7 linked regions of the Macaca fascicularis genome follow. The main gene of each other region encodes a partner of the protein of the gene in region 5 in a complex. Links are inferred from orthologs where the notes say so. Each region holds a gene or a part of one and is shown on either strand. Other genes may lie near its edges.

Evidence for each region.
Region 1: MED26 (region 5) and MED12 share a complex: the UniProt entries of both Homo sapiens proteins name them as parts of the mediator complex. The link is inferred for Macaca fascicularis from reciprocal best matches to the Homo sapiens genes MED26 and MED12.
Region 2: MED26 (region 5) and MED1 share a complex: the UniProt entries of both Homo sapiens proteins name them as parts of the mediator complex. The link is inferred for Macaca fascicularis from reciprocal best matches to the Homo sapiens genes MED26 and MED1.
Region 3: MED26 (region 5) and MED20 share a complex: the UniProt entries of both Homo sapiens proteins name them as parts of the mediator complex. The link is inferred for Macaca fascicularis from reciprocal best matches to the Homo sapiens genes MED26 and MED20.
Region 4: MED26 (region 5) and MED18 share a complex: the UniProt entries of both Homo sapiens proteins name them as parts of the mediator complex. The link is inferred for Macaca fascicularis from reciprocal best matches to the Homo sapiens genes MED26 and MED18.
Region 6: MED26 (region 5) and MED13L share a complex: the UniProt entries of both Homo sapiens proteins name them as parts of the mediator complex. The link is inferred for Macaca fascicularis from reciprocal best matches to the Homo sapiens genes MED26 and MED13L.
Region 7: MED26 (region 5) and MED4 share a complex: the UniProt entries of both Homo sapiens proteins name them as parts of the mediator complex. The link is inferred for Macaca fascicularis from reciprocal best matches to the Homo sapiens genes MED26 and MED4.

What each region holds. Positions count from the first base shown.
Region 1 is NC_088395.1:77,818,866-77,822,936, forward strand, and holds the start of MED12 (mediator of RNA polymerase II transcription subunit 12), read left to right. Parts: upstream 1-1,271; 5' UTR 1,272-1,430; coding exon 1,431-1,529; intron 1,530-2,048; coding exon 2,049-2,153; intron 2,154-2,360; coding exon 2,361-2,552; intron 2,553-2,688; coding exon 2,689-2,845; intron 2,846-3,659; coding exon 3,660-3,841; intron 3,842-4,015; coding exon 4,016-4,071. UniProt on the Homo sapiens protein: Component of the Mediator complex, a coactivator involved in the regulated transcription of nearly all RNA polymerase II-dependent genes.
Region 2 is NC_088390.1:60,453,143-60,456,642, forward strand, and holds part of MED1 (mediator of RNA polymerase II transcription subunit 1), read right to left. Parts: intron 592-3,500; coding exon 1-591. UniProt on the Homo sapiens protein: Component of the Mediator complex, a coactivator involved in the regulated transcription of nearly all RNA polymerase II-dependent genes.
Region 3 is NC_088378.1:129,647,993-129,652,065, forward strand, and holds the start of MED20 (mediator of RNA polymerase II transcription subunit 20), read left to right. Parts: upstream 1-1,273; 5' UTR 1,274-1,374; coding exon 1,375-1,388; exon of another isoform or gene 1,389-2,011; intron 2,012-4,073. Other genes in the region: BYSL (bystin), read right to left, coding at 565-832. UniProt on the Homo sapiens protein: Component of the Mediator complex, a coactivator involved in the regulated transcription of nearly all RNA polymerase II-dependent genes.
Region 4 is NC_088375.1:206,730,028-206,734,010, forward strand, and holds the start of MED18 (mediator of RNA polymerase II transcription subunit 18), read right to left. Parts: upstream 2,801-3,983; 5' UTR 1,860-2,800; coding exon 1,797-1,859; intron 1,578-1,796; coding exon 1,439-1,577; intron 1-1,438. UniProt on the Homo sapiens protein: Component of the Mediator complex, a coactivator involved in the regulated transcription of nearly all RNA polymerase II-dependent genes.
Region 5 is NC_088393.1:16,962,135-16,966,246, forward strand, and holds the start of MED26 (mediator of RNA polymerase II transcription subunit 26), read right to left. Parts: upstream 2,801-4,112; 5' UTR 2,544-2,800; coding exon 2,472-2,543; intron 1-2,471. UniProt on the Homo sapiens protein: Component of the Mediator complex, a coactivator involved in the regulated transcription of nearly all RNA polymerase II-dependent genes.
Region 6 is NC_088385.1:122,913,782-122,917,281, reverse strand, and holds part of MED13L (mediator of RNA polymerase II transcription subunit 13-like), read left to right. Parts: intron 1-590; coding exon 591-752; intron 753-3,313; coding exon 3,314-3,426; intron 3,427-3,500. UniProt on the Homo sapiens protein: Component of the Mediator complex, a coactivator involved in the regulated transcription of nearly all RNA polymerase II-dependent genes.
Region 7 is NC_088391.1:27,212,684-27,216,759, forward strand, and holds the start of MED4 (mediator of RNA polymerase II transcription subunit 4), read right to left. Parts: upstream 2,801-4,076; 5' UTR 2,775-2,800; coding exon 2,650-2,774; intron 1-2,649. UniProt on the Homo sapiens protein: Component of the Mediator complex, a coactivator involved in the regulated transcription of nearly all RNA polymerase II-dependent genes.

The sequences.
Region 1 (4,071 bases), on a different chromosome or scaffold from region 5:
TCCACCCGCCTTGGCCTCCCAAAGTGCTGGAATTACAGACGTGAGCCATCGCTCCCGCCTTGAATTACTTTTTCTTTCCATTGTGATTCAATAGCATTTTATTTTTGTTACTGGTGTTATTTTTGTTTATTGTTATTTGCTACTTTTGTTATAGCACACTGGCTGTCTTTTCTCTAGAAGGCAATACAAGGCCGGCACAGTGTCGCACGCCTGTAGTCCCGGCTACTGGGAGGCTGAGGCAGGAGGATCGCTGGAGTCCAGGAGGTTGAGGCTGCAGTGAGCCGTGATCGCGCCACTGCACTCCAGCCTGGGTGACAGAGGGAGAATCTGCCTCAAAATAAATAAACAAATAGCAATACGACAATAGGATATTGGCTCTGGAATTGAGAATCTTAGTGCCAGCTCTGTTACTCAGTAGCTGTATAATACTGGGTAAGTGAATTTTCACACTTTGAAAACCAGCTTCCTCATCTGCAAAATCGAGCCAATAATAAACCCTAACTCATGAGGCTGTGAGCAGATTAAAGGAGATAGTGTCTGAAAAGCATCTGACACAGTAGGTGCCTCTTTCGCTAGACCAAGGGTTCTTAACCTGGAGTTCATGGACCCTTAGGGGATACATGGATGAGCTTCAGGGGATCTAAGAATCTAAAGTAACATTTTGCATGTCAATATATGCATATTATTATTATTTCTGGGAAGAAGGTCCATAGCTTTCATTAGCACCTTTAAGGGTTTGTGAATCAAAAAAGTTACTCTGCGGTACCCTTGGGCAGAAAAAACAAACAAAAAAGGTTAGACAACTCGATGGTAGACCTTGAGGGATTAGAGCCAGCCTTTCAGGGTTTAATAGGTTCTTTCTCATGCATACGTAGTTTCTAATGTTCACAATAGCCCCTTCAAGGAGGTGTTAGCGCACCTATTTTTCAGATGCCGGAACTAAGAAACGAACTGATTTGTAATAGACGGAGTTCCTAACCAAAGCAAATGTTATTGAAGACTTTTCTAGGCCAAAACCGAGCTAGGCTCTGGGAACCGAATTCCAGTCAGAACTCAGCACCACAGAGGCCTCCCTCTTCCCTGGTTTGCATCCCCAGCTCACTCGGCGCCTCCGGAACGTTTCATAGATTTTTGCTGAGTGAAATCAACTTACCGCCGCCGCCGCCGAAAAACTCCCGGGGCACAGAGCTCCGCCCCCACCGGGCCAGGCCCCACCCCCTCTGCGGTCGGTATTGTCCGATGGTTCCCGGCGTCCCTCGGCTTCCCTCGGTAGTTTCCGGCAATGGTCGAGAGTTTCTAACGTGCCCCCTTGTTGTCTCTCGGCCGCCGTCCTCTCAACCACCGCCCCCCTTTTCGGCTCCCTCTCCCCCTTCCCGTTCCCCCAGTCAGCCTGGCCCTGCTGGCGCCTCCGGCGCTACGGGCTGGGCAAGATGGCGGCCTTCGGGATCTTGAGCTACGAACACCGGCCCCTGAAGCGGCCGCGGCTGGGGCCTCCCGATGTTTACCCTCAGGACCCCAAACAGAAGGAGGTGCGTTCGAAAATCGGGGCTCTGGAAGGGCCGGGGGCACGCGGTCAGCCTAGGAGGAGGCATTGACGTCTGGGAATGGGGGGCGGGGCGGTTCGGTGAGAGCGAAAGTCCCGAAAGGGGGAAGAGTAAAGTGGGCTGGCGTGGGAGGGCAGGACGGGGCGCGGTGGGGGGTTCCAAGGTATGAATAGGGGGTGGTGTAGGGGCCGCACCAGAAGCGCCCTCCTCCACACACATCTCAGAAAGTTGTCTGAGACAGCTTGGTGGGGTACGGCTGCTCGGATGTTCGCAAGAGAAGAGTGATGTTTGAGGGCGCCCTGGGTGATTGGGAATCGTAGTGACCATGGGGGTGACGGTGGGGTCCAAGTGAATGTAAGGGCCCAGCTTTAAGTAACGATCTGTGCTACACGGAACCCTCCTCCTGCCCTTTCACCTTGTTCCTTCGCTTCTCCTGCCCTACTCTCCCATCCCCTCCCCCTCCCGCTAAGGAAAAAACAACTAAACGCCGCTTTCCTGCCTCAGGATGAACTGACGGCCTTGAATGTAAAACAAGGTTTCAATAACCAGCCTGCTGTCTCTGGGGATGAACATGGCAGTGCCAAGAACGTCAGCTTCAATCCTGCCAAGGTGAGACAACTCTGCCAGGCTGAAGGAAAAGGCTGGAAGAATCTGAGAAGGAGCAAAGGCCCTGGGTAGGGAAGACTTATAGGGACAACCTAAGTGGCTGAGTTTGCCTTCATGACCTAATGCTGTCTCATTGGCATTTGCCCAGCAAAAGGCAGGCCACCTGTCTGCCCCTTCTTCCCACCCTGAGGTACAGTTTTCTTCCCTCAGATCAGTTCCAACTTCAGCAGCATTATTGCAGAGAAGTTACGTTGTAATACCCTCCCTGACACTGGTCGCAGGAAGCCCCAAGTGAACCAGAAGGACAACTTCTGGCTGGTGACTGCACGATCCCAGAGTGCCATTAATACTTGGTTCACTGACTTGGCTGGCACCAAGCCACTCACGCAACTAGCCAAAAAGGTAAGGTACTGTTTCCTGTCCTTCAGGCCAAGGAGGGAGCATAGGGTACCAAGTATCCTCCTATTCCCATATTAAGCTACATGGGTGTCAGCTCATGGGGATAATAGAGACCTCACTATTTGCAATGTCCATCCAGGTCCCCATTTTCAGTAAGAAGGAAGAAGTGTTTGGGTACTTAGCCAAATACACAGTGCCTGTGATGCGGGCTGCCTGGCTCATTAAGATGACCTGTGCCTACTATGCAGCAATCTCTGAGACCAAGGTTAAGAAGAGACATGTTGACCCTTTCATGGGTGAGTAACTCCTAACACCAGGTGTACGGCTGATGGCTTCAAGGAGGGATAGAGACACCCTTGCAAACATCCTCCTTCTTAATCTAGATTCCTTGTTTCTGCTTGTTTCTTGCATTTGCTTGATCAGTAAACACTGAGAAATTTGAGTGTCTACTGTGCACATATACTGGTCTACAAAAACGTCCAGTGCATAATCTCTGCCCCTAGGATACTAGTAGTCTAACAGGGCTGCTAAGGTATATGTACAAATAACATAATTAAATATAGAAGGTGGTGAATGTCAGGCTAGGAGCAGAAGGTTCTTTGAGTGGACAAAAGATTACTTTCTTATGGGGATACCCAGAAAGGCTTTAGGAAGGTGGGATTTGACTAGAGACAAAGGATGAACTGAATTTACAAATATGGTGGGTGATTGGGAGTGGGGTAAGGTATTCTAAGTAGAAGGATATTCTTTTTTTTTTTTTTTTTTTTTTTTTGAGACAGAGTCTTGCTCTGTCACCCAGGCTAGAGTGCAGTGGCAGGATCTTGGCTCACTGCAACCTCCACCTCCCGGGTTCAAGTGATTATCCTGTCTCAGCCTCCCAAGTAGCTGGGATTACAGGTGCCCACCCCTGCGCCCGGCTAGTTTTTGTATTTTTAGTAGAGACGGGGTTTCACCATCTTGGCCAGGCTGGTCTCGAACTCCTGACCTCGTGATCCACCTCAGCCTCCCAAAGTGCTGGGATTACAGGCGTGAGCCACCGCACCGGCCAGTAGAAGGAAATTCTAAGCAGAAGGATAGTATCAAATAGCCCTTTTTCCCTGTTTCCTCCAGAATGGACTCAGATCATCACCAAGTACTTATGGGAGCAGTTACAGAAGATGGCTGAATACTACCGGCCAGGGCCTGCAGGAGGTGGGGGCTGTGGTTCCACGATAGGGCCCTTGCCCCATGATGTAGAGGTGGCAATCCGGCAGTGGGATTACACTGAGAAGCTGGCCATGTTCATGTTTCAGGTAGGGAGTAGGGCATGCTGTGTGGGGCATTAGGTTGAGCCTGAACTTGTACTCTGCCAATAGAGAACAGAATCTGCTTGCCACCTTGCCCCAGTTGTGGTTCTCTTCATCTTTTCATTTACTTTATCTGCTTCATCTCTAATAGTCCCCTCTTCCCTCCCCTGGTACCCATAGGATGGAATGCTGGACAGACATGAGTTCCTGACCTGGGTGCTTGAGTGTTTTGAGAA
Region 2 (3,500 bases), on a different chromosome or scaffold from region 5:
GGTGGTAATCTTGATGACTTCTTTTTCTTGGTCTTGTTGCTCCCCGAGCATATTTCCATCCGGGGTGAGCCGGAAGAGGAGTTCTGCCTTTCTAAAGGGCTGCTTCCATAAAGGGTTGAGAAATCCTGGGCAGGATTATCTTTAAGAAGGTTCATGAGCATCGGGTGGTTCTTGGTGTTGCCGGCCATCGAAGAGACAGGTGGCGGCGTGTGATGAGGAGGGGTCGGACTCGAGCCAATGGTAGACCCCCCGTTCCCTGTGATTTGCAACAAACTGGTAAGAATTGGGTTCTGAGACACCTTGCTGAAGTCCTCCCCATGGCCCACCGACTCATGCCGATCTTTGATGCTCATGCTCATATTAAACAAGGTGGTAATGGGACCCCCCGGAAAGGTGTTGGTTGGTGTAGTGGTACCACTCATTGGGTTGTTGCCTGTGGTCATGCCATACCCTGGGCTGCTAGCCGGGGGCAGGTTCTTTTTCACCATGTCTTCAACTGTCTCTGCAATGAGGGACAGTGCTGGGGTGTCGGCCTGAATGGTTTCAGCTTTCCTCCGAATAGCCCTCATCGTCACAGGGATGGACATACATCTGCAAGATAAGGAAGAAAACAAAGTTAATATTTCAATAGCTGCTGAATGAGACCTGAGATTTAGATAAACCATCAGAGTTCTGCAGTAAGCAGTTTCCAGGTAGGGCAAATCGTATAAGGCAAAAATAGTTCTATCAAATACCAGAGCTTTGGGTAAATACATTATAAAAATCTAACCCAACATAAAATTGTCAGTCTCTTATGAATCACACAACAAAAGCAAACTATAAACAAGAGTCCAAATAATTGAATTTCAAACTGAACTAAAAGAAAATTGGTAATAATGGAACTCAGAAAATGCCTCCTTAGGGGCCAGTCGCAATGGCTCACGCCTGTATTCCAGCACTTTGGCAGGCTGAGGCAGCTGGAACATGAGGTCAGGAGATCGACACCATCCTGGCCAACATGGTGAAACCCCATCTCTTTTTTTTTTTTTTTTTTTTTTTTTGAGACGGAGTCTTGCTCTGTAGCCCGGGCTGGAGTGCAGTGGCCGGATCTCAGCTCACTGCAAGCTCCGCCTCCCGGGTTTAGGCCATTCTCCTGCCTCAGCCTCCGGAGTAGCTGGGACTACAGGCGCCCGCCACCTCGCCCGGCTAGTTTTTTGTATTTTTAGTAGAGACGGGGTTTCACCGTGTTAGCCAGGATGGTCTCGATCTCCTGACCTCGTGATCCGCCCGTCTCGGCCTCCCAAAGTGCTGGGATTACAGGCTTGAGCCACCGCGCCCGGCCAATGAAACCCCATCTCTACTAAAAATACAAAAATTAGCTGGGTGTGGTGGCACGTGGCCTGTAATCTCAGCTACTTGGGAGGCTGAGGCAGGAGAATTGCTTGAACTAGGGAGGCGGAGGTTGCATTGAGCCAAGATCATGCCACTGCACTCCAGCTTGGTGACAGAGCAAGACTCTGTCTCAACAACAAAAAAAAAAAAAAAAAAAAAGCCTCCTTAGGTCAGGCGTGATGGCTCACTCCTGTAATCCCAGCACTTTGGGAGGTCGAGGCGGGTGGATCACTTGGGAGTCAGGAGTTTGAGACCAGCCTGGCCAACATGGTGAAACCGTGTCTCTACTAAAAATACAAAAAATTAGCCAGCCGTGGCGGTGTACGGCTGTAATCCCAGCTACTCAGGAAAGGGAGACAGGAGAATCACTGAAACCCAGGAGGCAGAGGTCGTAGTGAGCCAAGATCGTCCCATTGCACTCCAGCCTGGGTGACAGGGCAAGACTCCATCTCAAAGAAAATGTCTTCCTTGGGGGCTTCATATGGCAATTACAAGGATACATAATTTATTTTAATTAAGGAACCATTAGAAAAATCTTGGCTGGTCAGAGTGGCTCACGCCTGTAATCCCAGCACTTTGGGAGGCCGCAGCAGGCAGATCACAAGGTGGGGAGTTTGAGACCAGCCTGGCCAACATAGTGAAACCCCATCTCTAATTAAAAAAAAAAAAACACAAAAAAAATTAGCTGGGCGTGGTGGTGGGTGCCTGTAATCCCAACTACTTGAGAGGCTGAGGCAGGAGAATTGCTTGAACCCAGGAAGCAGAGGTTGCAGTGAGCCGAGATCACACTACTACACTCCAGCCCAGGTGACAGTATGAGACTCTGTCTCAAAAAAAAAAAAAAAGAAAAATCTCTTGACCTATCAATTTCTAAACCTTACTGACTTAGATCCCAAACCTACACCTGTTATAAAAAGTGCTATTTGTTATAAATCTTATTTTAAAGCAAAGCACTTATTTTCCAGATAAATTTATATTCATAAACCTCAGTTTGCAAATGTTTTGCTCTAGAACATATGTCAGCAAATTTTTTTTCTTTTTTTTTTTTTTGAGACGGAGTTTTGCTCTTGTTGCCCAGGCTGGAGTGCAATGGCACGATCTCGGCTCACGGCAACCTCTGCCTCCCAGTTTCAAGTGATTCTCCTGCCTCAGCCTCTCGAGTAGCTGGGATTACAGCCATGGACCATCACGCCCAGCTAATTCTGTATTTTTAGTAGAGACAGGGTTTCTCCATGTCAGTCAGGCTGGTCTCGAACTCTTGACCTCAGGTGATCCGCCCACCTCCCAAAGTGCTGGGATTATAGGCGTGAGCCACCACACCCAGCCAGCAAATTTTTCTTTGTTTTTTTTTTGAGATGGAGTCTCGCTCTGTTGCCCAGGATGGAGTGCAGTGGCACGATCTTGGCTTACAGCAACTTCTGCCTCCCAGGTTCAAGCAATTCTCTACCTCAGCCTCCCAAGTAGCTGGGATTACAGGAGCCTGCCACCACGCCCAGCTAATTTTTGTATTTTCAGTAGAGATGGGGTTTCACCATCTTGGCCAGACTGGTTTTTAACTCCTGACCTCATGATTTACCCACCTTGGCCTCCCAAAGTGCTGGAATTACAGGGGTGAGCCCCCACACCCGGCCACAAATTTTTCTTATAAGGTCATGTAGTAATATGTTAGGCTTTGTACGTCACGTTTCCTGTTCACCTACTCTGCAATATTACCTAGAAATCTGCCACAGACATGTAAATGAACAGCAGTGTTCCAATAAAATTTATTTACAAAAATAGGCTGCCAGACCTAGCTGTAGAAAAATCTCACAAAATTACTTATTAATGGTTCTGGGATGCATACTGGCTTAACTATCTTTCATGCAACAATTAAGTTGGCTTTTTATTTGAGATGGCATCTTGCTCTGTCTACCAGGCTGGGGTGGAGTGGCACAATCTCAGCTCACTATAGCCTCTGCCTCCCAGGTTCAAGCAATTCTCCTGCCTCAGCCTCCTGAGTAGCTTGGATTATAAGCACCTGCCACCACACCTGGCTAATTTTTGTATTTTTATTTATTTATTTAGTTTGTTTGTCTTGAGACAGAATCTCACTCCATCACCCAGGCTAAAGAACAGTGGCGCGATCTCAG
Region 3 (4,073 bases), on a different chromosome or scaffold from region 5:
TCTTTGGCTGCTAAACAATGTGTTTTCTGCTCATAACACTTCCCATTCGTTTTTCAGTTCTCAACTTAAAAGGTCCTGCTGCAATCGGAGAAGCTTCTCAAGACCAATGCTATTGTTACCAGGGAAGCGACACTTTATCATAGAAAAATATTATTCTAAGAGTCTACTTAATTGACTCTCTACTGGGCTTGACTGTAAGGTCCTTAAGTCAGACGTGCCTATGTTGTTTACTTCTGTACCCAAACATTCGATAGAACTCCGAGCATAGTACAAAGCTCGTAGTGGGTATCCCATATATATTTACAAAACCAATGGATAAATGCTAGGGTGGAGCGAGCGATTACTGTTGGCCTAACTTAGGGGATGTGTAGAAGGGAGTGCCTAAAACTAGGAGTGGACGCGGAGGGCTCTGAACAGGGTTCAGTCTCCCATTCCATTACTTTTGCAAGTGTAATACGGACCCTTTGTTGACTCGAAGCAATTCCCCTGCCAGACACTTTTTAGCTGTCCACCCCGCCCCACTACTGGCCACTGTCTTCCTCGGATCTCATCCCAGACACTCACCCAGCCGCGTGGTGCGTTCCCGCGACGCCGCGGGCTTGTCCCCAGTCCCATGCTCGGCCTCGAGCTCCTCCTGTTGCTGCCGTGCTTGCTGCAAAATCCGCCGGCTCAGCCGGGGTCCCACATACTCTTCCTCCGTTTCTCCGGTCCTGCGACCCCGCCGCTTCTCCCGGACCCCTGCCCGCACCGCATTCCCAGCCAGGATCTGATCGGCCAGGGGCGCATGTTTTTCCTGACCCCCGACCCCACGGGCCGCCTTCAATTTGGGCATTTTTCTCGAAAACGTTGCCGCGGAGGTTCGCACGTGGAGACGGCGAAAAAGCCAGATTGCGCTTGCGCGGTGGACTCCCGGCTCTCAAGAGGCCACGCGGCGATCACAGCGCCCCCTAGCATTCGGAGGCCAGAAGCGCCATCAGCGCCGCCCCTCCCACTAAAAGAGCTCCCGGGTTCCGGTGCTGGACTCCCCAATATATTTACAGCCTTTAACGTTAGCTTCTCTCAACAGTGCAGTCTTTGAGTGTCGCTCTTAGCTTCATGGGTCTAGGCCTAGAGTGCTCAGCCAAACGAGAATGTCTGGATTTAGAAACCTGTGGGCGGGAATCCGCAGATGATGTCACTAGAGGTGTCACCGAGGGGCCCTGAGACCCGCCCCACTCCTTGGGGAAGGCGTGGACCCGGCGCTCTGTTTTTACGTATTTCCGGAGTCTCTTCCGAGACCGAAGGTTGTGTTGGGGAACTGAAGCAGTTTCTGTGGGCGGATAGGGAACCCTGCGTTTCTACCGTGTGATCCGGCCGCCTTCCTGGCCCGACGCCATGGGAGTGACTTGGTAGGACTGCAGGGGGTTTTGTAGGGCGGAGCTTGGAGTTGTGAAGGGCCGAAAAGAGGACCTTGACCGTGGTCCGCCGTCCCCTGGGAGCTGTCCTCGGGTTGTGTGGATGAGAGGATGCCGTGCGAGCCGCGGGTTCCCCGGCCTTGTTTCCTCGGAGATGCGCCCCTTCCTCTTGGAAGGCGGGAAAGCAAAGCGAAGTTTTTTTTTTTTTTTTTTTTTTTTCTTTAAGACGGAGTCTCGCTCTGTCGCCAGGCTGGAGTGCAGTGGTGCGATCTTGGCTCACTGCACCCTCCGCCTCTTGGGTTCAAGCGATTCTCCTGCCTCAGCCTTCCGAGTAGCTGGGACTACAGGCGCCCACCACCACGCCCGGCTATTTTTTGTATTTTTAGTAGAAATGGGATTTCACCATATTGGCCAGGCTGGTGTCGACAAAGCAAAGTTTTTTGTTTTTTTTTTTGTTTGTTTGTTTGTTTTTGAGACGGAGTCTCGCTCTGTCACCCAGGCTGGAGTGCAGTGGCCGGATCTCAGCTCACTGCAAGCTCCGCCTCCCGGGTTCACGCCATTCTCCTGCCTCAGCCTCCCGAGTAGCTGGGACTACAGGCGCCTGCCACCTCGCCCGGGTAAGTTTTTTGTATTTTTAGTAGAGACGGGGTTTCACCGTGTTAGCCAGGATGGTCTCGATCTCCTGACCTCGTGATCCGCCCGTCTCGGCCTCCCAAAGTGCTGGGATTACAGGCTTGAGCCACCGCGCCCGGCCGACAAAGCAAAGTTTTTATCCCAGGAACCTATCAATGGTTGTGTACCTCATTCCCTTCTAGATTTATTTTCCTTCCCGTGAGGCCATAGTACTGCCCGCAATGGGACGTCAGGGTTGGAAATAGGGTCTTTGGACTGTGACCCACCTGCAGACAGGGTTAGAGGGAGTGTGTTATAAGCAATCAGGAAACAGTATTTTTAAAGATTTTCTTTATTTTTCTTTATTTCTTTTTCTTTCTTTCTTTTTTTTTTTTTTGAGACGGAGTTTCGCTCTTGTTGCCCAGACTGGAGTGCAATGGCGCGATCTCGGCTCACAGCAACCTCCGCCTCGCGGGTTCAAGCCATTCTCCTTCCTCAGACTCCGGAGTAGCTGGGATTACAGGCATGCGTCACCACGCCCGGCTAATTTTGTATTTTTGGTAGAGACGGGGTTTCTCCATGTTGGTCAGGCTGGTCTCGAACTCCAGACCTCAGGTGATCCGCCCGCTTCGGCCTCCCAAAGTGCTGGGATTACAGACGTGAGCCACCGCGACCGGCCAAGATTTTTGCCTACCCTTCCCTCAGCCATCAAATGCAGTTAGACCAGCTTGTGTCTGTTTCTAATTTGCCCATTTTAAGATCTTGGGTCCAGAGGGAAAAAGAGGCTATTGAAAATAAGGAGATCATGGTTCCAGGCACTTTATCTCTTTAGGACCCGTTTCCCACTATGTTTAATTCCATGGTTAGTCTAGTTTCAGAGGAGTTTTTATCTTTCATAGGTTTTAAGTCTCCGTTGGAAGAAGATGAGGTAGCAGGGAAAGGTATGGGTCCAGTGCTTGTGGAGGCGTTAGTTGTAAGGTGCCAGGTCCCAGAACATTTTTTTCTTATCTCAGTAGATGTGAGCATTTTTCCCCGTGGGAGAAACCCAGAGGCCAGGATATCTGAAGCCAGTGGCTATAGGCTTCTCATACAAAAGCATGTGTAGGGGAAATACTTTTCCTCCTGGTAGCCCAGGTTCTTGCAGGTTTCTCAGTGATTGCACTCTTGTTTCCCACAGTTCACATCATGATCCTCCTGTGTTCCTTAATGGAAGCAAGATATGTGAGGGATGGAAATAGAAAGGATGCAGCGTAGAACCCTGGAACCCCATGCTCTTTTTTAAATAAATAGAAATGGGTTCTTGCTGTTTTGTACATCCAGGTCTTGAATTCCTGAACTCAAGCGAGCCTCCTGCTTTGGTGTCCCAAAGTATTGGCATTACAGACACGAGCCACCGTGCCCAGCCACCCCTGCTTTTTAAATGGAGAAGGCAGGCCGGGCGCGGTGGCTCAAGCCTGTAATCCCAGCACTTTGGGAGGCCGAGACGGGCGGATCACGAGGTCAGGAGATCGAGACCATCCTGGCTAACACGGTGAAACCCCGTCTCTATTAAGAAATACAAAAAACTAGCCGGGCGAGGTGGCGGGCGCCTGTAGTCCCAGCTACTCGGGAGGCTGAGGCCGGAGAATGGCGTAAACCCGGGAGGCGGAGCTTGCAGTGAGCAGAGATCCGGCCACTGCACTCCAGCCTGGGTGACAGAGCGAGACTCCGTCTCAAAAAAAAAAAAAATAAATAAATAAATAAATAAATAAATAAATGGAGAAGGCAGCTCCAGGGCAAGGGCTCTCTGTTGGCACCCTTATCAACGTTTTCAGAATCCTAGGACTTCTGTCCCTTGTAGCGTCAGTTTAGGGATTCTTTTATATTTCAACATAAGGCACATTAGCAACATTGTTTATCAGTGCTTTTTCTGATAGAGTAGTGACAATTTTTAGCAACAGAAGGACTCTACCCTAATAGATTCATTTAGTTGATCATAAAGCAATGTCATCTATGACTGTTTTCTTGATTTCTATATAGCTAAGTACTGCCTGTACTATTGTTTATTAATTTTTTAAATTGATCTTT
Region 4 (3,983 bases), on a different chromosome or scaffold from region 5:
CCTTAGCCTCCCAAACGACTGGAATTACAGTCATAAGCCTGTAATAGCTGGCTTGACATACATTATTTTTTAGTCATCTTTCTCCCTCCATGGCTATGGCTCAAATGTTTGGAACATATTCAGATACTTGTTGACAAAATCTGGCCTGGCGCAGTGGCTCACGCCTGTAATCCCAGCACTTTGGGAGACCAAGGCAGGTGGATCACCTGAGGTCAGGAGTTCAAGACCAGCCTGGCCAACGTGGAGAAACCCCGTCTCTACTAAAAATACAAACATTAGCTAGCCATGGTGGTGCACGCCTGTAACCCCGCTACTTAGGAGGCTGAGGCAGGAGAATTGCTTGAACCTGGGAGGTGGGGGCTGCAGTAAGCTGAGATTGCACCACTGTGCTCCATCCTGGGCAACAGAGTGAGAATCCATCTTAAAAAAAAAAAAAAAAATCAGAGAAACAGGACCTAGAAAGATAGCTGCTGAGGGTTTGGCATAGAGGGGAGTGGGAATTAGTGTTTAAGGGGTAAAGAGTTGCAGTTTTATAGGATGATAAACAAGCATTTTAGGCTGGGCGTGGCGGCTCATCCCTGTAATCCTAGCACTTTGGGAGGCCAAGGCAAGTGTATCACTTGAAGGCAAGAGTTCAAGATCAGTTTGGCCAACATAATGAAACTGCAACTCTCTACTAAAAATACAAAAACTAGCCGGGCATGGTGATGCACGCCTGCAATCCCAGCTATTCGGGGGGCTGAAATACAAGAATCCACTGAACCGGGAAGTGGAGGTTGCATGAGCTGTTATCATGCCACTGCATTGCAGCCTGGGTGACCGATCGAGACTCTGTCTCAAAGAAAAAAACAGTTGTACTAAGTATTTTTTCAAGCTACTCACAATAAACCAAAGTTCTAAAGATCTGTTGTTCAGCAATGTTAATATACTTAACAATACTGAACAGTACACTTAAATATGTTAAGGTTTTTTTTTTTTTTTGAGACAGAGTCTTGCTCTGTCGCCCAGGCTGGAGTGCAGTGTTGCGATCTCGGCTCACTGCAATCTCCGCCTCCCAGGCTCGCACCATTGTCCTGCCTCAGCCTCCCAAGTAGCTGGGACTACAGGCACCCGCCATCACGCCGGACTAATTTCTTTCTGTATTTTTAGTAGAGACAGGGTTTCACCGTGTTAGCCAGGATGGTCTCAATCTCCTGACCTCGTGATCCACCCGCCTCGGCTTCCCAAAGTGCTCGGATTACACGCGTGAGTCACTGCACCCGGCCAAGATGGCAGATTTAATATGTTTAGTGCATGTAAAACTGTAATTTAAAGTAACAGTTAAAAACATAGTTGGGTGCCAGAAACTGTGCAGGCTGCTTTTGTGTTGTCTCTCATCTTAAGGGAAGCTGAACAGAGAAGAGGAAAACAGGTAATCCAAGTTCCCTGGTTCACTTACCCTGCAATAGGTACTCCATCATGTTAATGGTGCCCCCAGTGACAGGCATCATGGTGACTGGAGGTGCCTCCATGGTGTCTAAGTTGAAGACAACACAACTGGACTCAGAGCCCCCAGTCAGGTAAGGCACGGGATATACCTGGAAAAGAGTTCACTTGTTTATACATCAGAGTAGTCGAGAGAGACCAAATCTGTTGTGGCACTGGCCTTCAAATCAAAAGATTCATTCATTTAAAAACATTTCAGTGTCTTACATGGCCAGTTCCAGGAACTGATGATACAGAAATATAAAAAGGAGATCTGGTCATGGAGTTACAGCATTGCCTTCTAGTCTCAAGTTCTGAAACCTCCAAGTTACCTGTGCAATCTTGAGAAAGTCCTGTCTATAACCCCTCACCCTGGGACTCAATATCTTCCTCATAAAATGAGACCAGCAATTTTTTTTTTTTTTTTTTTTTGAGACAGAGTTTCACTCTTGTCGCTCAGGCTGGAGTGCAATGGTGCAATCTCTGTTCACTGCAGCCTCCGCCTCCCAGGTTCAAGCGATTCTCCTGCCTCAGCTTCCCGAGTAGCTGGGATTACAGGCACCCACAACCATACCCGGCTAATTTTTTTTAATATTTTTAGTAGAGACAGAGTTTTGTCATGTTGGCCAGGTTGGCCTTGAACTCCTGGCCTCAGATGATCCTCAGGTGAGTGGGCCTCCCAAAGTGCTGGCATTATAGGCGTGAGCCACCACGCCCAGCCAAAGGCCAATGATTTTTAACTCCCAAGGTTATGTGGCTCAAACGAGATAATAAAGAGGCAACAAAATTCAGAAGAACTGAAAAGTGTCTTAAGGGACCTTCATTTTTACAGATGAGGACATTGAGACTCAGAGAGGGACAGGATACACACAGCAACTTGGTAGCAGAGTTGGGACCAAACTAGAATCTAGGCATTCCATCGCTCTGAAAATGCCTTTCCCCCATACCCTTTTCTTTTTTGGTGACAGGATCTCGCTCTGTAGCCCAGGATGGAGTGCAGTGGGGGAGTTCCTAGTTCACTATAACCTCGAACTCCTGGGCTCAAGCGATCCTCCCACCTCAGCCTCCCGAGTAGCTGGGACTACAGGAGGGAGAGTCACTGCGGCTAGCCTAAAAATGCCTTTTAAAGAGAGCCAAGGCCAGGCGCGGTTTCTCACACCTGTAATCCCAGCACTTTGGGAGGCCGAGGCTGGCGGATCAACCGGAGGTTGGGAGTTCGAGACCAGCCTGACCAACATTAAGAAACTCCGTCTCTACTAAAAATACAAAAAATTAGCTAGGCCTGGTGGCGAGCGCCTGCAATCCCAGCTACTCAGGAGGCTGACGCAGCAGAATCGCTTGAACCCGGAAGGCGAGGTTGTGGTGAGCTGAGATCGCGCCGTTGCACTCCAGCCTGTGCAACAAGAGCGAAACTCCGTCTCAAAAAAAAAGAGAGAGCCAAGAGGAAGTTATTTTAAAATGATGGTATATAGGTCCTTCTAAGCCAGCATCCACAACACGTGTCCACTTAAACACTAGAAGCACACCTCCTTGAGGCTCTAGTGTCTTCTCGAGAAGTCGGGAATTATATGCACCCGCGCACCTAGGAGCCTTTGAGCGACGATTAGATCCCAGTCCTCCGGTTACCGGAGCCCGGGAAGCCCCCAGACCGGTGCAACCAGCCAACTTCCTGCTCTTCTCACTTCCGGTCGGAAGCCGAAGTCTCACAAACCTCGAAACTGCCGTTCCCAAACGTATGGGTGCCGAGAAGGCCGAAGAGCGTCATTGCGGACAGACAATCAGAAGCGCATGCGCAAAATGCCGGGCTGCTGTAAGAAAGATGGCGGCCTCCTTTGGAGCTTTCCTCCGGGGTCTACCTGGCGCCTTGACGTCACAGGCCATCCTCTAGGAAAATATTTTTAGGTTTGACAACCTGGAGATGTATTTGTGCAGAAAGTCTCTTGGAACTGATAGGACTTACAGAGATTATAATGGGCTTAAAAAGAAAAATGAACTGAGGGCGCGGTGGCTCACGCCTGTAACCCCAGCACTTTGGGAGGCCGAGGCAGGTGGATCACTTGAGATCACGAGTTTGAGACCAGCCTGGCCAAGATGGTAAAACCCCGTCTCTATTAAAAATACAAAAATTAGCCGGACATGGTGACACGCGCCTGTAATCGCAGTTACTAGGGAAGTTGAGGTGGGCGAATCGCTTGAACGTGGGAGGCAGAAGTTGCAGCGAACCGAGATCGTCCACTGCACTGTAGCCTGGGATACAGAGAGAGGCTCTGTCTCAAAAAAATAAATAAATAAATAATAAATAAAAATTTAAAAGTCTGGAAAAGGAGTAGGTCCAGATCCAGGAGTACTCTGCAGTGCCAGACTAAAAGAACACGTGTGAGCTTTAAAAGAACCCTGGTTGCAACATGGAGAAAAGTTTGGGAAAGGAGAGAGCCTAGAGAAAAATGACCAGGCGGGACATGGTGGCTCAGGCCTGTAATCCCAGCACTTTGGGAGGCCAAGGCGGGCAGATAGCTTGA
Region 5 (4,112 bases):
GCTAAGTTTGTTAACCATAATTGCATGCCCATAAAGGTAAGCATTACATGACACAATTCTCTGCCGCTTCTCTCAGAAGAGGTTTAATTTTAGTGTTGGCTCTTCAACACTGTCCCCGTTTTTTTTTTTTTTTTCCACGAGCATCTTAAATATGTGTCAACTAAATATCCAGTAGTGGAATTCATCATTGGGCAGGGCAGAGAGGAGAGACCGGCACACCGGCAGCACCTGTGCTGGAGCCACCTGCTCTCACCTGAGCCCACATTGATCCGAGAGAAACTGCAGACACACTGACATGCCCAGCTCTCACCACCACCTCCGCCAGCAAACCCCGTCCACTGCAGCTCTGTTTCTGCATGGTGTTTGCTCAAAGCGAACGGTCCTGTCAAACGGCCCATAACAGCGCTCAGAGGATCAATCACAAAGGAGGCACTTTCCTCATTGCTCATAATCAAGAAGATAATTTCCCAAATCCATCCACCCCATGTTAGTAGGACTCTGCCCAAGATCATCACCAAAGTCCTTGAAAATAAGCGATATGAAATGCAAATTCCATGTCAGGTAACATAACCAGGGACCTATATAACATTTCTGCATGAGCTGAGACACACAAAACTAAGATTTGTTCCGTCCTCTTTTCTTCTGCCTCAAGGAACCCTTTTGATTAGAGCCTTACACAATACTGGAAACTGTGAGGTCACTGGAGTGACCTAATCTACAACACTGTGATCGCCTGTCAAAGTGCCGCCTGATCCCAAAGCTCTCTGAGGTGGCATTAAGGATCAGTGCTAATATCTCAGCAACCTCTCAGACTCTCCAGAAGGAAAGCGAGTGCGTGAAATTCAAAAAATTACCTTCTGGCTCCACAAAAGATGTACAAGTCACCAAGGCTATTTTTTTCATGTCACTAGTTTTATCCTCTAATATTTCAATCTTAAAATTGCAGTGGCACCAGTTACTGCAAAAAGGACATTCGAGAAGGTTTTATATAGCTTGTGCCCACTCCACCCCCAAAGTCATAACAAAAATGTATAATATAACATTTGTTAAAGACAATTACCATCAAGTCAATGTTAATGGGACCTGAATACCAGGGATAAGAGAAGTACTTATATCACAGCAAAAACAGGGCCTTAGAAAAAAACTCATAACCCTTCAATCTTACCAAAAATTGTATAAGTCAACGTGAATTATTCCAAAAACATCATCAGAGTTAAGCATACTGCTAAGAGTAATCAGCCAAGCTCATGTAAAACTACAAGTAAAAACCCCTACGGTGAGAGAAACCTGAGTTACCTGGCCAAGCCAAAGATGATTTTTTTCTTCCATTCACAGCATATTAAAAAGTGATCTCAATGGCCACTTCCTGGGAAGCAGGGCCTCACTTCATACCTGGATGCTACTGCATCTTCCCACCGCCCTGCTCCTGCCGCGGGAAGTATGACCCCTACTGCCAAGAAACTCTTGGAGAAAATATGAGAATAGATCAGTCTTCCCACCCCCACCCCACCCCCGCAACAACACACATACACACACACAGATACACAGCCACACATACGGAGGGGGAAGGGGCGGTCCCTCCGCCAACAGTAGCCTCAGCAAAGGGGCACCCGAGGAAGCGACACCCTGGAGTTAACCCTGACAGTCTGGGTCAATAGCCACCAGGCTGAGACCCCCAGGTGAGGGAAAGAGCCTACTGAAACAGGGCTCTTGGGTAAACGGGAGAGAAAAGTCCTCTTTAATTCACTACCCAAAAAAATGGAGCTCTGGCTTGGTCAGAGACGCAATGGGTACTGAGGCCCAGAAAGGCAACAGGAAGGATCCCACCCTCCCCGAAATCATCTGTCGCTGGCAGCGACCCCAAGAGGGTTTTGGCGAAGGCGTGTCCAGTCACAGAAGGGAGACAGACTCTCCACGTACCCTGGGTACCCGGCCAGGGGCAAAACACACTGGGGGTTCTCTCCGAAGCCAGGAAGGTGCTGCCAGCCGGGAGGAGGGGGAAGGACTTCTCTCATAACCCAGAAGGCTAAGACATGGGAGACACAGGCTCCCCGAGTCATACCCCGGACACCAGTTGCTTCACAGCCCTTCTCCCTCCCCTCCCCCGCTCCGGGAGGGCTTCCCGGGGGTCTCAGGTCCCGGAGGGAGGGCGATGCAGGGCAGCTTCGTCCAGAGCAGTGAGGGTCATAGAGCTGGAGCAGAAAGGGGAGATAAACTCTACCCTTAGCCCCCCGTCTGCTTCCTCCGCCCAGGCCGCACGGAAGCCTCGGCCTCACGTACCAAGCGCTGCCGGGCTGCCCGACCTGCCCCCGGCCCGGGCCCGAGGAGTGAGAGGCAGAGATGGCAGCGGCCCTCGAGGGGAGGTGGGCGCCAGACGGGTCCCCCGAAGCCCGGTGGGCGAGGGGGACAGGAGAGGGGGAGGGTCCCAGGCCCATGCGGCCTCCGTCCCAGCTCGCGCGGCGGGTACTTACGTTGCTCTGGGGGTCGATGGCCTGCAGCAGCCGGTCCCTGATCTGCTGCGGAGACGCCGGAGCCGCTGTCATTGCCTGGGCGAGGCGGGGGTTGCGGCCGGGCCAGCGGGCGGGCGGGCTGAGGCGGGGGACGGGGGTCACTCACTCGCCGGCCTCCGGGAGCCGGAGCCGCATGTTCCCCGCGGCGCCGGAGGGTTAGGTGCGCGCGGGGTGGCGGAGAGGGGAGCCGGGGCCGGGTCTCGGTCCCGGGCCGCCGCCGCCACCGGAGGAGGAGGAGCCGCCGGAGCCGCCGCCGCTTGCTGCCGCCGCCTCGAGAACCAAACTCCAGTGAGCTGCCCCCGCGCGGAGTACTCTGGGTAGTCCGCGCCGCACGCAGCGTCGGCGCCACGCTGAGGAGGTTGGGAGATGGGACGGGCGGAGACGCCAGGCATGGGCGGGGCTGCCCGTGCGCCCCGCCCCGCGCCTCCGCGCACGCGCGCGCAGGCGCACTCACCCGCCTGTGCCGCCCCGCCCCGCCGCCCGGCCTAGGCAGCCGTTGGGAGGAGGTTGGGCGGGGCAACGGTCGCTGCCTGGAGACCCCGCCCCCGCCCGGGTCGCGGGGCGGGGCTTTCTGACGGAAGCGCGCGCGCAAAGAGTCCTTGAACCCGGACGCTCGCGGCGGCTACCTCAGGGCAGGGAGGGCGGCGGGAAAATCCTTCCTCTAGGAGAGCCTTCCCGGCGCGTGACTGGGGGATGAGAGTCGCAGGCTGAGCAGCTGCCGAAGTTTTTGTGAGGGCGAGGGAAGCAGACGTCCACGTTGTGATTCTGCGCACGGAAGGGTCATCGGAGGAGTCCAGGGGTGTCGCCGCGGCCGCCCCCGCCCCTTAGAGAGTGTGGGAATGGGTGTGGTGACGGGCGGGGGTCTGCATCGCCACGCGCGACCCCGATCGCGAAAACGTGAGGCGGCAAAGAAGCCGCCCCCCGTAGCTGGGAACGCTGGAAAGCCGGAGGTTGCAAATCTGCGTCTACGCCGCGGCTTCTCCACCTCGGCGCCACTGGCATTTGGGCGATATTGCTCTGTCGTTGGGGCGGGTCCCGCGATCTGTCGAAAGTTGAGCGGCATTTCTGGCCTCAGAAGCGCCCCCTCCCCCAGTCTGCAGTCATTGCCGCCATCCCTTGTTGGGGCACAGTCCCCCCGCCCCGCTACCGGCAGAAAACCCCGTGATTGAAAGACCCTTCTACCCGCCTCTGCCTGGAGGTGCTGTAAAACTGAGATGCTCATTCTCTTAACCAAACACGTCACAGGAGGAAACGGAGGCCCAAGGTCACCTAGACTTCGGGGTTAAGCCCAGAACCGCAGGTGTCAAGTTTAAGGGCGCCCCTCCTCCCTCCACCCTACTTATTGCCTTCTGTAATTGCTCCCCTCTCTCTGGGAACTCTGTTGGAAATGCTGTTGTGAGACGGGGTGGAAAGGCAAGCTCGGCGGCCTCGGGAGAAATCTTTTTTTTCCCCACTGTTACAGGAAGACCTAGATTTAAAACAGGAGGAAGACGGCTGATGAGAACCACATGTGTGCCTTGGCGCTGCCTGGCACCTGTTAGTCTTGTATTTGTTGTGCTTCTGGGAAATGTTTTCATTTGCAAAAACGGCTGCTTCTGCACG
Region 6 (3,500 bases), on a different chromosome or scaffold from region 5:
CAGTTGTTGAAGCTAGCTAAAAGAATTACAGATAAGAAAAATGTCAGTTGCAGCAAAACATAGTGAGCCTCTTCCAGGAGTCTCTTATTAAGGGGAATGCTGCAGATGAAAACATGGCTTCTCTGTGAGCAGATCTTGCACTACTGGCAGCTCAGGAACATTTGTGCTGTGCAGGTACTGGTGTCACATTGTCCTGGTCAAGCTGGTGAGCTCTTGTGTCTGTGGTTGGTTGCTGGTGAAAGAGCACCTGCGTATGGTAGAAACTTCTGCTGTCAGAGATTGTAATCTTTCCATTTTAGTTTGTTCCATCACGATGCCATGGAATTGATCTTCCATCCCATAGAAAAGAAACCCAAGCAAATAAATCCGTACTTAGTTGACTGAGGCTGTCAGCTTTGCTGGCATCTTCTCTATGTGTGCAGCAAAGACAGTGCCGGCCCTGCTTTCCTTTCTCAGCCACCTGTGGCTTTCTGTGAGATGCTGCCACAAAGGGGATCACTCACTGCAGTGTGCAGAGTGAACTGACGAAAGTTTGTTTTTCAAGGTTTCAGATAAATGTTGATCATGCTTTTGGGATTTTTGTTTTTCAGAGCCAGGGTGAGCGTCTTCTTTCTAGAGAAGCACCAGAGGAACTAAAGCAGCAGCCCCTGGCCCTTGGGTATTTTGTATCAACTGCCAAAGCTGAGAATCTTCCCCAGTGGTTTTGGTCATCGTGTCCCCAGGCTCAAAACCAGTGCCCTCTCTTCTTAAAGGTTGGTTTGGTATCATATTAGAAGTTTGCAAGGAATGAGTGATTTATGCTTAAATTTAATTTTGCTTAGAAATTTCAGTTTTAGGCATCATAATCTTATTCTGTTCCTTTTTTCTCTTGTATCTACTTACACTCTGAGGAAATTTTACAGTTGTAGGTGGAGAGTAGAATTTAGGAGGACCCAAAACCATGTCACAAAGAAATGAAGCACAGTAGCCCAAGGAGGAGACAGTGGGGCCCAGAGGGTAAATCTAGGGTGGTACATGGGGTTCAGTGTAATGGTCTTTCTCCAAGTCTATATTGCGTCACTATCAGTAAAGTTAAGCTTGCGTCGAGGGTATAGTAACCAGCCGTCCTCTTCCTCCCCTGCCATGGACTCCTCTCATTCTTCATTAGAGCAGGGTAAGAGTCGGCTAAAAACATTGCACATTTGCACTTCCTCCTTCCTTTATATTTCTTGGAACCTTTTAATCCCAATTTTAAAGGTTCAAAACAAAAGATCCCCTATTTGCAGTTTGTGTTAAAAACAGCAATACCTAGAATGAAATCCATTTCTTGCCCACAGATTGGCAAAAATACAAAGATTTGGCAACATACTGTGTTGGCACAGATGTGGGGAGCAGGCCCTGGTGTTGGTGGAATTGCTGAATAATACAGCCCTACACACTACCCTTTTAGGGCAGCATTCCCACCTCTAAGGAAGAGCCCAAAGGTTCTTCGCCAAAACAGAAAATGACGTATGTCCAAGACTAGAAAGAACCTAAGTGTCATCAGTGATGGACTGATTGAATCAACTGTGGCACATCCAGACAGTGAAATGTTAATCATTTGCAACAAAATGGAGAATATTTCTGTGTAATCATTCTGTGGAGTAGCGATTACCTTGGAGTAATCTATAAGATATGCGTATTCACACACATATACACACACACAGCTGATTATATTTTCAAAAACAAATGATGGAAATCAAACCAAAAACTTAGTGAAGCAATGTTCTTTTCCTAATGACTTTAACATACTATTATAAAATCAAAGAAGGTTTATAAAAATGCATGTGTTCTGTATTTTGAATTAGAATTATCAGTATGAGCGTAGATTTATTTTTCCTCTCTAAAAAAGTTTACACATTTTTTTAGCTCTGTCTGCTGAAAAAGCTTAGCAGCAATAAACACCTCTGTTGCCACAATTGTGGTTCCTACACACTGTTGTCACTTAAAGGTACTATGGTTCTTTGAAGATGACTGATTCCAGGTATGAAGCAGGAAATGTTCCCAGTGAACCTAGGGCATCTTGTCACACCTAAAAGCAAGAAAGTTACCAAAGATCATGATGGTCCATCAGGGCCTCAGGAGCCATCTTAGAGGGCAGCTCGATTGTCCAGGGCTAGGATGGGACCGTGTGATCATTAAAACAAATGATGACAGTGATAGAATGAAACAAATCCTTGGTTCATAATTGTGTTGGAAAACAAAAAATCAGTCATTTTTAACTGCTAGAGCATCAACTCAGTCTGAAAATAAAAAATAAAGAGAAAGCATTTATATATTGCCTCTCGTTTACATATAAAGTAATACCAAAACCATTGGGTGAAAACTTGATGAGGAACTTTATGATGGGTGTAGTACGCTGGTACCACCTGAACCCAGTGATGAATCATGTTACTTCAGGTGGGACAGTAGACATTTCGTGCCTTTAATCATTTGTCACGTACAGATCATGTTGGCTCATGATTTTAGTAAACCAAATATAAAAAGACATTTTTGAGATAATAAGGGAGCATTATCTTATTATCCTGCAGATGGGGTGATTGGGGTGATAATATTAAGGAATCATTGTGAATTTTTATTGTGTGATAATTACTGTTATGTTTAAAGGTCCTTATGTGAGATATCTCTGACGTTTTACAAGCAAAATGATACAATATTTGTTTTATGGGTTTTTTGGTTTGTTTTTTTTTTTTTTTTTTTTTTTTTTTTTTTTTTTTTTTTTGAGACAGAGTCTTGCTCTGTTGCCCAGGCTGGAGTGCAGTGTTGCAATCACAACTCACTGCATCCTCATCCTCCCAGATTGCTCAAGCAATCTTCCAGCTTCAGCCTTCCGAGTAGCTGGGACTACAGGCACAAACCACCATGCCCAGCTATTTTTTTTTTAAATGTTTTGTAGAGATGGTAATATTTGTGTTTTGTTTAAAATAATTCAGAAGAATGAAAACAAAAAAGTGGTGAATATTGATAATTGTTACATCTTGGTGATATCAATTCATGGGACCTTATAATATATTAGAGTATTTTTGTGTGTGCTAGACTATTTCCATTGAAGAAACAAAATACAGCAGACCGAAAAAGCCCAAAAAGTTTGCCTCCCCACCCCCCCCAACCCTAGGATGAGAAGTTACTTGGGATTACCTTGGGGGTTACTGAGCAGGTTAAAATTTATAGACTCATAGAAACTCTGACTTCTAAGGACTTTTGGGAGCATCTGCTTCTGGCAGACATGGCCTCCCTCACTTCTGCACTGTGATTGTCTAGACCAGAGAGGTAACTCCCTTTGTTTTTTCACCAGGCTTCGCTGCATCACCACATTTCAGTAGCACAGACAGACGAACTTCTGCCTGCCAGGAATTCTCAGCGGGTTCCACACCCTCTTGACTCCAAAACTACGTCTGATGTTTTAAGGTAGATACCAACCTAGGCATCATAGCAGTGCAGTTTGAAATGATATTCCTTTACTGTTGTCTTTGCAAGGTGTT
Region 7 (4,076 bases), on a different chromosome or scaffold from region 5:
ACTGGGGAGAGGAAAGCAAAGTGAGGATATAGCAGCCAGGTGGCTAGGGGTAAGATTATGTAGGACCTTACAGTTATGGTAAAGATTAATGTTTCGTTCCATATTCAATGAAAAGCCACTGGATCATTTTAAACAGGGAAAAGGCATGACCTGATTTACACTTTTAAAAACTGCTGAGCGATTTGGTAAATAGACTGTAAAAGGGCCAGAACAGGTGGTTTTTGTAGTGTTCCAGGCAAAAAATGACTGGTTTTGACTAGGTCATAGCCTCCAGGACTTAGTAATGGTGATGGGAGAAACATAGACAGATTTCAGATATCTTTTGGAGGTAGAGCTATCAGGACTTGCTGATGGATCAACAGTGTATGAAAACAGCATGTTACGTAAACTTTTTCGTGTATGCCACTGAGACACAAACTGTTGAGAACCTCTAGTCTAAGTAAAAGCTGGTTTCAGGTGGGGCAGGGGTGGTGCTGACTGGAGTGGGGCTATGGTAGGAGATGTGGGATAAGCCTTCCTCTGTTCTTGCAAATCTGGGAGTATGAGTCCACAGAAGGCTTTACAAGGCTTGCCATAGGCACAGGAGTACAGGTGAGGTAGAAGTCTCTGACACAGGAGTAGAGGGGAGGTAGAAGTCTCTAAGACTTAGTCATGTTCTGTAACAGTCCAAGACGAAGTAGAAACCTCTGTCCTCCCCATTTGTGAAAAAGAGGCCAAAGGAAGGCCCATACTCACTCTCTGGTTAAAGATGTGGAAGTAAGAGCCCTGTCCTGCTACAAGGAAGGTGCATTCCTGGCATACTGCATTAGAATCCAGCCACAATTCCCCATAGAAATAAAATTTCCATAGGGGTTAGAGCCTACATTATTAGTGGTAATACACTTTTCAGGTAAAGAGAATTAACAGGCTGGTGTGGAAACCTCAAGACTCCTATCAACATGATTCCGTGAGTTTTCAGTTACAAACGGGTTAAGAAAAACGTTTAGACTACAACCTGTGTTTCAATTGTTTAAGACTGTCTCCTTGCATTACATTTTACAAAGTAATAAATATCCTGAAAGGGTACATAATCAGGTTAATAGAAAAAAAAAAAAGATCCTAAGTTATAAATCCACTATTTTTTAAAGCCAAGAGGCTCAACCTAAAAATATGTAAGGTACATTCGTGAATTTTCTTCTCATTTCCATAAATGCAAGCCAGACACAAATTACATTCAGAGACTGACAAATTACACAGATCACAGAATCAGCACACATAACTATGTCTGAGTGAGCACATGAGACTTTTCTGGAAGCCAGTCACACCACCAGAGCAGCTTCATTCTGTGAAGAAATTCCAATGATCCGCTCGCCTCGGCCTCCCAAAGTGTTGGGATTACAGGCGTGAGCCACCACACCCGGCCATAATACAGTTTATTTTAAACAGTGGATCAAACACATAAGTCATTTAATTTCTGGAGTCTATTTGTTTTAGGGTTTTCTTCCATCATTAAATATTGTGCTGACCTGGTAACTTGGTAGCAATACTATGGCAAGGACTAAATTTACACCAAAGATAAAGTGCTGATTATATCAGGTATATTTTAAAATACAACAGATAAGATTTATTCTAAAGTTGTCAAAGAATGTTGGCTACAGAAAAAGTGACATTTGGGCTGGAATCTGAAGGATATATGAATCATTCACCAAATCGGGGGAAGATTGGGAATGGCATTGAAGATGTGGAAGCCTGACTAAAGAATTTGAACTTTACCTCACTGGACAACGCAAATCTACCAATGAGGTAGGTTTTATATCATTTTTCTGCAGAAAAGTAATATAACATGCCTTTTAAAACTGATCTTGGCCAATATAAAAGGATACAGTGCAGAAGCATGAGGCAATTAAAACTGGGAGGCTGCATTTAAGAGTAGTTATGAACAGTGGGGTAGGAACGAGAGGACAAATGTGAGCAACATTTTAGGAGGTAGAACCAAGATAATTTACCATCCACGTCAATGGGAGGGAGTCAAGGAAGGCTTCAACTTGACTTATCATGAAAGGTGACAGAATATAAAGAATGACATTTAATTTCATCTCCTATCTCTGATACAAAACTTGCAACTCCACCAAGCCAGGCTTTTTGCACTTGCTGTTCCATCTACCTGTGCTGCCTAGTGAGTCTGGCAAGCTCACGCTTCCCAAACAGCCGTTTCTTCAGAGGGCCTGCCCTGATTACAACCAGAAAAGGTGCCTAGCCCCTGTGCTCCAGTACCCCGCAGCGCAGCGCTCTAATAAAAACAGGCTTCAAGGCAGTTTACACATCTGTCTCTCTCTCTCGACAGCCGGCATTCAGCCTACCCTGCACTACTGTCTCCCTAGTGCTTGGCACCCAAGGGGCGTTCCATAAATGTTAAGTGGCTGGCTGTGGACGAAGGGGCTCAGACCGCGCGAGTTCTTATCATTACTAAAATTCCCTCTAACGGGAAAAACCGCCGTCCAGAGTGCTGGAAGACTGCGGACCCCACGTCCGTGACCCTGGTGCACCCGAAACTCCCGAGCTGGCCCTCCCCGCCGAACCCCGAGAACGAGCACAAACGCTGGGCCGGCCGGCTCCGGGGGTCAGTCCCCCGGCCTAGCTCCAGCCCGGCTCTCAGGATCGCAGCATTACCTAGACAGGACCTCCAAATCCTCAAGCGCAGACAGTAGCCGCTCTCGTGTGCTGTTACCACTTGCCACTCCCAAGCCGCCTCCCAGCCTCTCTTTCTCCTTCTCACCACTCGAAGACGCAGCCATTTTCCTCACAGCCCCGCCGCCGGCGCACGCGCTGAGCGCGCTGACGCAGGGGCGTGGCGAGGAGGCGGGCTCGGAAGGCGGAAGAGTCATCCAGGAGAGGAAGAAGAGGCCCGGCGAGGGCGCCCCCTTTGCGCCCGGAGGGGCGCACTGCGGGCACCGGCGCCATCTGCTGGGCCAGCGAGGGCTTTTGGGTCCAAACCCTGGGAGCAAGGGCTGAACTGAGAACAGGGAGTGCAATGCAGTCTGATTCTCCTGGGCCTAATGTTTTGTTTTTTCTTTCTTTTCCTTCCTTCCGCAGTCTGATTCTCCTGGGCCTAATGTTTTGTTTTTTCTTTCTTTCTTTCCCTCCCTCCCTCCCTCCCTCCCTCCCTCCCTCCCTCCCTCCCTTCCTTCCTTCCTTCCTTCCTTCCTTCCTTCCTTCCTTCCTTCCTTCCTTCCTTCCTTCCGTCTTTCCTCTTTTTTTGAGACGAGTCTCGCTCTGTTGCCCAGACTGGAGTGCATTGTCGCAATCTCGGCTGACTACAACCTCCGCCTCTCGGGTTCAAGATATTCTCCTGCCTCAGTCTACCGAATAGCTAAGATTACAGGCGTGTGCCACCTCGCCCGGCTAATTTTTGTATTTTTAGTACAGACAGGGTTTCGCTATGTTGGCGAGGCTGGTCTCGAACTCCTGACTTCAATAGATCTGCCCACCTCGGCCTCCCAAAGTGCTGAGATTATAGACGTGAGCCACCGTGCCCGGCCCTGGGCATGATGTTTTTCAAGCAGCAATGAGAAGCTTCTATGAAGTGGTTTTTAAGACTTTGAGGGAATCACATAATGGTCTACATTATTATAAAAGACGGTCGGGGACTGCCTGACTCCCATGAGGCAGTCGTACCTGTGGTCCTTTCATTTCATGGTCTCATCCTCTGCTCTTTTTGGAGGTGCTAAACTTGACTCCTGGGCACCCAGAGTTGACAAGTCTTTCAGAAATTCGTGTTAAATAAACTCACTCATAGCGGCCCTGCGCGGTGGCTCAAGCCTGTAATCCCAGCACTTTGGGAGGCCGAGATGGGCGGATCACGAGGTCAGGAGATCGAGACTATCCTGGCTAACACGGTGAAACCCCGTCTCTACTAAAAAATACAAGAAACTAGCCGGGCAAGGTGGCAGGCGCCTGTAGTCCCAGCTACTCGGGAGGCTGAGGCAGGAGAATGGTGTAAATCCGGGAGGCGGAGCTTGCAGTGAGCTGAGATCCGGCCACTGCACTCCAGCCTGGGCGACAGAGCAAGACTCCGTCTCAAAGATAAATAAATAAAT